Linked DNA regions of Macaca mulatta. The protein of the gene in region 1 binds, or shares a complex with, the protein of each later gene. Links are inferred from orthologs where the notes say so. Each region holds a gene or a part of one and is shown on either strand. Other genes may lie near its edges.

The links. Proteins that work in one complex are often made in the same cells at the same time.
Region 2: the proteins of GDF5 (region 1) and TWSG1 are in contact, whole or in part, in a crystal structure (PDB 8BWL), measured with the Homo sapiens proteins. The link is inferred for Macaca mulatta from reciprocal best matches to the Homo sapiens genes GDF5 and TWSG1. Residues at the interface, in NP_000548.2 of Homo sapiens: Glu434, Phe435, Pro436, Ser439, His440, Glu442, Asn445, Val448, Ile449, Leu452, Ser455; in NP_065699.1 of Homo sapiens: Cys26, Lys28, Cys31, Ala32, Ser33, Val35, Ser36, Leu39, Ile40, Cys44, Gln45, Cys46, Arg47, Cys73, Val74.

What each region holds. Positions count from the first base shown.
Region 1 is NC_133415.1:88,241,508-88,244,953, reverse strand, and holds the end of GDF5 (growth/differentiation factor 5), read left to right. Parts: intron 1-1,298; coding exon 1,299-2,173; 3' UTR 2,174-2,735; downstream 2,736-3,446. UniProt on the Homo sapiens protein: Growth factor involved in bone and cartilage formation. During cartilage development regulates differentiation of chondrogenic tissue through two pathways.
Region 2 is NC_133423.1:80,333,953-80,338,148, forward strand, and holds part of TWSG1 (twisted gastrulation protein homolog 1 precursor), read left to right. Parts: intron 1-1,493; coding exon 1,494-1,593; intron 1,594-4,059; exon of another isoform or gene 4,060-4,196. UniProt on the Homo sapiens protein: May be involved in dorsoventral axis formation. Seems to antagonize BMP signaling by forming ternary complexes with CHRD and BMPs, thereby preventing BMPs from binding to their receptors.

The sequences.
Region 1 (3,446 bases):
GCTGACTCACACACGTACACACATGCTGAACCACACATGTACACACATGCCGAATCACACATGTACACGCATGCCGAATCACACACGTACGCATGTGCACACACACCTTCTTACATACACGTGTACACAAGATCGATTATGCACATACATACATATATGTGCTCTTCAAATAGTACACAAGCCCAATCATTTATACATATAATGCATCATTAACGTATACTCTTTCATATTCACACATGAACCCAACATTAACGTATACTCTTTCATATTCACACATGAACCCAATCACACACACACATACAACTGTAACACACGCACACACTCAGGAGAGTAAGACACATAGGCAACAAAATCCTTGCACTGGGAAGCCAGGAAAATTGGGCTGTAGGTCAGTGTGGACCAGCTTTGACATTAAGTTGCTGTGTGACCTTAGTCAAGTCACTCCCCATCTCTGTGCCTCATCTGTAAAACAAGAGCACTAAGGTCTCCTTTAAGGGATGGTGGAAGCAACTGAGAATTTGAGCAAGTCATCTAACTTCTCTGAACCTTGGGATTCTCCTCCAGAAAAGCATGGGTTTTTTTTGTTGTTGTTGTTTATTTGTTTTGTTGTTGTTTGTTTGTTTGTTTTTTAGCCAGGGTCTCTCTCTGTTGCCCAGGCTGGAGTGCAGTAGTGAATTCATGGCTCACTGAAGCCTCGACCTCCCTGGGGTCAGTCAATCCTCCCACCTCAGCCTCCTGAGTAGCTGGGACTACATGTGCACGCCACCATGCCTGGTTAGTTTTTGTATCTTTTTGTAGAGACAGAGTGTCACCATGTTGTGCAGGCTAGTTTCAAACTCCTGAGCACAAGCAATCTGCCCACCTCAGCCTCCCAAAGTGCTGGGATTACAGGTGTGAGCCACTGTGCCCAGTCAACAAGAGTAATTTTAATGCCCACTCCACCTATCTTGCAAATGAGATACCACGTTAGCTCATGGCTGGGAGAGAGAGAGGTAGAAGGCAGTTACAAGGCTGATAAATATCTGATAACATGTAGATCATGACACAAACACCAGAAGCAGGCAAATCATCCCCAGCCACATCTACAGGTGAACACCCCTACTTGGTTGGCTACATAGGAGGTGCTCTCATTTTGAAAAAGGCTCTCAGTGGTTTGGCTCTTGGCTTCTGTCAGAATGGGGCAGAGGTGAAAGAAAGCTCTCTGGACGGGGAGAGAGCTGGGGCCTTCCCCTGCAGCCTCGAAGTGACTGACTCCCTTGGTGAGGTTGCAGGGAATGACTTCTGGGTGTTCTCTCTAGATGACCGAGGTCCCGTGGTCAGGAAGCAGAGGTACGTGTTTGACATTAGTGCCCTGGAGAAGGATGGGCTGCTGGGGGCCGAGCTGCGGATCTTGCGGAAGAAACCCTCGGACACGGCCAAGTCAGCGGCCCCCGTAGGCGGGCGGGCTGCCCAGCTGAAGCTGTCCAGCTGCCCCAGCGGCCGGCAGCCGGCCGCCTTGCTGGATGTGCGCTCCGTGCCAGGCCTGGACGGATCTGGCTGGGAGGTGTTCGACATCTGGAAGCTCTTCCGAAACTTTAAGAACTCGGCCCAGCTGTGCCTGGAGCTGGAGGCCTGGGAACGGGGCCGGGCCGTCGACCTCCGTGGCCTGGGCTTCGACCGTGCCGCCCGGCAGGTCCACGAGAAGGCCCTGTTCCTGGTGTTTGGCCGCACCAAGAAACGGGACCTGTTCTTTAATGAGATTAAGGCCCGATCTGGCCAGGACGATAAGACAGTGTATGAGTACCTGTTCAGCCAGAGGCGAAAACGGCGGGCCCCACTGGCCACTCGCCAGGGCAAGCGACCCAGCAAGAACCTTAAGGCTCGGTGCAGTCGGAAGGCACTGCATGTCAACTTCAAGGACATGGGCTGGGACGACTGGATCATCGCACCCCTTGAGTACGAGGCTTTCCACTGCGAGGGGCTGTGCGAGTTCCCTTTGCGCTCCCACCTGGAGCCCACGAACCATGCAGTCATCCAGACCCTTATGAACTCCATGGACCCCGAGTCCACACCACCCACCTGCTGTGTGCCCACGCGGCTGAGTCCCATCAGCATCCTCTTCATTGACTCTGCCAACAACGTGGTGTATAAGCAGTATGAGGACATGGTCGTGGAGTCGTGTGGCTGCAGGTAGCAGCACTGGCCCTCTGTCTTCCTGGGTGGCACATCCCAAGAGCCCCTTCCTGCACTCCTGGAATCACAGAGGGGTCAGGAAGCTGTGGCAGGAGTATCTACACAGCTTGCATGAAAGTGGATTCCAATAAGCTTGCTCGCTCTCCGAGTGTGACTTGGGCTAAAGGCCCCCTTTTATCCACAAGTTCCCCTGGCTGAGGATTGCTGCCCGTCTGCTGATGTGACCAGTGGCAGGCCCAGGCCCAGGGAGACAGACTCTGAATGGGACTGAGTCCCAGGAGACAGTGTTTTCCAATGAGACTCAGCCCACCATTTCTCTTCACCTGGGCCTCCTCAGCCTCTGGACTCTCCTAAGCACCTCTCGGGAGAGCCACAGGTGCCACTGCCTCCTCAAGTCACATTTGTGCCTGGTGACTTCCTATCCCTGGGACAGATGAGAAGCTGACTGGGCAAGCGTGGGAGAGAAGAGGAGAGGGCTTGGACAGGGTTGAGGAGTGTGGGGCTGTTAGACTGTTAGATTTAAATGTATATTGATGAGATAAAAAGCAAAACTGTGCCTAAAACTGTGGCATATTTCTTGTTTACTCCAGGGGACCCAGTGACCCGTTGAAGAATTTCTGACCCAGGGAGGGGAGGTGGGTTGCTTCATGTATAAACTCAGTTTTCAGAGCCCCATCCCCACCCCCACTCCTGGAAACTGAAGCAGAATGGGACAGAGAGTACAGCTTAGCAGGGCCAGTGCTCACCTCTAACCCCATTCCTGTTCCTTCCAAAGGCCCCTGGGTCCCGAGCTCTATTTTCTCCATTAGGGCCTGGCAACAGAATTTTATTTTCTTCTTGACATTCCTTAGTCACGTTTGTTGTCTCCAAAATAGATCCCTAAAAGGGAGGGAAATTGGGGATTTCATTTCTTCTAAAATCATTCCTACATCATTCACCAATATCTGCCTGCCCCTGCCACCCCCATACTCACAGAATTACCTGGGCACCATTGAAAGAGTCCTCTATCTCTCCCCTGGGAAATCTGGGCTGCCAAGGCTCTCCTCCTCCCTGTTGGGGCATGTCCTCTCACCAGTAACCACTGCTCCTCACATGACCCTGTCTGTGGCTCTGTTGCCCTCCAGCTTGGCACCCTCACTGCTTACCCATCAGCCCCCAGCTCCAGAAACAGAATTGGAGCCCCCTGCCTTTATATTACACATTCTATAAATACATAATTATACATCAGATAAATAAACTCCCCGCTAACTCCTCCTCCTGTTGGGGCATGTCCT
Region 2 (4,196 bases), on another chromosome or scaffold:
GGTTGGCAATCAAAGGCAGGCGGCAGCCAAGCAGGGCAGACATTCCAAACTGTCCAGGGCAGGTGCCATGAAAAATTAGAATGGCTTTGTTGAAGAGAAATTATATTTGGAGGAGGGAGGTCTTAAGGACCTGGCTTCTGGGAATCGGGCTTCAGTTCAACAAAACAAAACACTTAAAACTTTATAAGATTGGGACCGGCTATTTTGGGTTATTAAATTCCTTGTCAGCTGTGGGCTGCAATGGCCATATGTTGATGGAACATTATAGAAGCGATTCAGCTGTTACATAGAAAGATGGTTTTGTTGACCTGTGAAATTCCTTCTAAGCCTGAGAGTAAAATCAGTTTTGTCATAAGTTATTTCCACCAAAATAATAAAATATTAATGTTTTTCTTATAAATATATGTGGTATCTTAAACCAGGGAAAGCAAGTAATCAGTGGTGGCTGCAGAATTTCCATTTCAGTTGGGTCTATTCAGGAGTGGCAATCTGATGGCAAGGGGAGGGCAGGGGCAAGTGCTAAAGGAATTACTTTAGAACTTCATGTACAGAGCAAGCTATCTTAGCTCTTGTGGAGTGACAAACCACCCTAACGTTTAGTGGGTTAAAACAATAGCCATTTATTTAGCTCTTGTTTCTGTGGGTTGACAGTTTGAGCCTGGATCGGCTGGGTGGTTTTCTAGCCTTATTCCCGTGTCTGTTGGCAGCTGCTGGTTTATTGGAAGCTGGCTGATCTAGGATGGCCCCAGGTGGACTGACTTGTCCACATGGCCATATCCTGGCTTCACATGGCAGCTGGGCAAAGTCCTAAGAGAAGCAGTGGATGCACTCAAGGCTTCTTGAGGCCTGAACTCAGAAGTGACATAATGTCATATCCACCAAACCCTGTTGACCAGAGTGAATCTCAGGATCACCTAAATTCAAGAGGTCTAGAAATTGACCCTGTCCCTTGATCAGAGGAACTGTGAAGCTGCATTGCAAAGAGGGGAGACCTAGAGAGGGAAATAATTGCCACCTTCTTTGTAAATAATCTACCATACCAAGCACACTGTTTTCTGTATCATGGAACAGTAAAAATAGAATTTCCGAATTTCTTTTACTCACATTTTACATATTGAGAAACCCTACAAGTTGGCTATTTGTTTAAATTTGGGCAATGAGTATAATAGCTGAGAAGCAGTTTTGGTTCTTGTACTGAATTATTCGTTGAGGTGGTGTGGGTAGTCAAGTAATGGGTTATAAAATAAAATATTTTCCTTATTTCAAAATATGGTTAAAGCATTCAAAGTATGTTCACTGAATGTGTCCAAAAAAAAATCTATGTGACATTGTAGATATTTATGTTCTGATGAATAGTTAATAATGTTGAATAAAAAATTATGTCAAGAATACATTACTGTAAATGCAAATATGGCAGGGTTTTTTGCTTAAAAAGTAACAGTTTTCTATATCGTTATTTGGAATTTGAAGTTTAACATCTGCCTTGTTTCTAGGAGCTCTGCCAGTGCCGGCCGGGCGAAGGCAATTGCTCCTGCTGTAAGGAGTGCATGCTGTGTCTCGGGGCCCTTTGGGACGAGTGCTGTGACTGTGTCGGTAAGTTGATACAAGGGAAACTTCTTAATATTTCTTATCACAGAATCCTTGTTTTTAAGAGACTTTGAGGAATATAAATGTAGTTTATATGTATAAACAAGTATGTGTGGGAGATACAGTAAACATACAGAACATTGTATTTTTACATTCAGTTGTATTCAGTAGTATTTACCTATACATGTATTTAAAAATGCTTATCCTTGGGAAGTAGGAGTGGGGGGCCAAGGCAGAATTTTTAACTTTTTATTTTGAAAGTTTTTATACTGTTGAATTTTTTATAAGCAGCAGCATTTTATTTTATTTTATTTTATTTTTTATTTTATTTATTTATTTTTTTTGAGACGGAGTCTCACTCTGTCGCCCAGGCTGGAGTGCAGTGGCACGATCTCGGCTCACTGCAAGCTCTACCTCCCGGGTTCACGCCATTCTCCCGCCTCAGCCTCCGAGTAGCTGGGACTACAGGCGCCCGCCACCACGCCCGGCTAGTTTTTTTGTATTTTTAGTAGAGACGGGGTTTCACCATGTTAGCCAGGATGGTCTCGATCTCCTGACCTCGTGATCCACCCGCCTCGGCCTCCCAAAGTGCTGGGATTACAGGCTTGAGCCACCGCGCCCGGCCTATTTTGTTTTTAATAAGAAGTAGGTTTTATAAGAAGAAACATTCCCAAGATGTGTTAAGTAAAAAAAGCCAGGTTCAAAATTATGTTTATAGAATGCTATCATTTGTGTGTTAGAAAGAAAACTTACGTGTGTCAGAAGAAACACCTGTCAGCCCTTCTCTGACCAGTTAACTCATTTTCAACCTTTAAAACCCCAGGTCAAGTATCCCCATTCCTTGGAAACCTTCCTTATTTGACTGAGATAGACGATCCTCTGTGCTTCTGAGAGATCATTTATTGCATGCTCCTATAATCGTTGTTTTGCATGTTTTTTTCAACTGAGTATAAACTCCTTCAGAACAGGAATATAGTCATACTGATGTTTTTTACATTATCCTTTATCAAAATAGGCTATATGCATATAGTTTTTAAGGCACATAGTACTAAAACAATCCCATCTCACTTCTTTCCAAGCCTTTGATCCTATGCCCAGAGACTACCACTTACAACTTTTCAGCATTGCACTTCTTCCAGAATTCTGAATAATAACCCTATACTACTCTCTTGATTCTTTGATGTTAGAAACTATCAGTTGACTTCCTCTTATGGTAGACATGCATTTAGTTCTGTTATCTCTTTATCTTCCTAATGTGATTTTATCACTCCTTCTAGTGAAATCAGTATTTACTTTAAGAATCACTCTAATGAATTAGTGATATATATTCATGGGATGCATAATAAAGTCAGCACTAATTAATTAAATGAGTTATCCCATTATCTGTCTTCCTGTATTTTGGGTGTACTTCTTGAGAGATTTCCTAACCTTTTCACCCTTGTATTAATTTTTTAAATTTTTACTTCCTTTTTTAATTTCCAAGAGCCCTTCTCTGATTGTCCTTTTTGAAGGAACATACTGTTCTTGTTCTTTATGTAATATATTTTTCTTATCTTTCTGGAATTCTTAATTACACAGTTTTGTGGTTGCTGTTGAGTTTTTTCCTTCTACTCCTTGCATGGTTTCCATTTTCTCAGGTGTCTGGTGACCCTTGGCTGTCTATTCCTTTGTACAATTTAGGTACTCCAAAGCGGACTGGGAGTACCTAATCCATGGGCAGGGCATGGAATCTAGTTTGCCTCACTAAAAGGTGGTTGGAGGATAAACTGCCTTTTTCACTGACGAGCCCTCTTATTTCATGTCTATAGACCTTTCCCCTTAGGGTTGCACATTTTTTCTAGAGAAAGATTTCCCGGTTTCCTGCTGGGGTTGAGGCTGGGGTAAGGGGCAGTCTGCCAGGCTGCAAATGTTCTGGGAACCTGAGGGGTGAGGTCACAGTGAACAGTGAGCATACTTTTATTTACTTTCCTTGTTTTCTTCCCATACTCATCTCTATCCTTTGCCATTTTTGGCATTCCCAGTCCAGGGCCTCTTTGGCTTAATTTCTCTAAAGAATAACTCTCTCCTTTCCTCCAGTTGTGGAAGAAGAGACAGGGGCCTGAAGGTGTAGCTACCCCCCAGAATAGGCTTGCCTCTGCCACACTGGCACCTCCAGCTCCTGAGTCTCCTCAGGGTTCCGTGGGGCACGTGGCCTGTGTGGAGACTCTGCTCAGTCAGGTACCTTTAGCTCTTAGCTTCTCCACACATAGAGTTAGTGTTTCCATTTCTTGTTTTTCTTTAGTGTTTTGTAGTGAATTCTGAGAGAATGGGGGCACAAGTATCTTTTCCTCTGTCCTCTTATATTCCTCTTGGTATCTCTAACAGCTGGCTTTGAATTATTTTAGGGCATTAACTGTTTATTAATTTAATATGTACAATGAAAGTAAAAAAGAGAAAATAGCCATCTTAATCTCTGATATACACACAAAAGACTTTTTTTTGAGACAGGGTCTTGCTATGTTGCCTAGGCTGGAGTGCAGTGGCGTGATCATGGCTCACTGCAGGCTCAACCTTCTGGGCTCAAGCAGTTCTCCTGCCTCAGCCTCCCAAGTAGGTGGGACTGCAGGAAT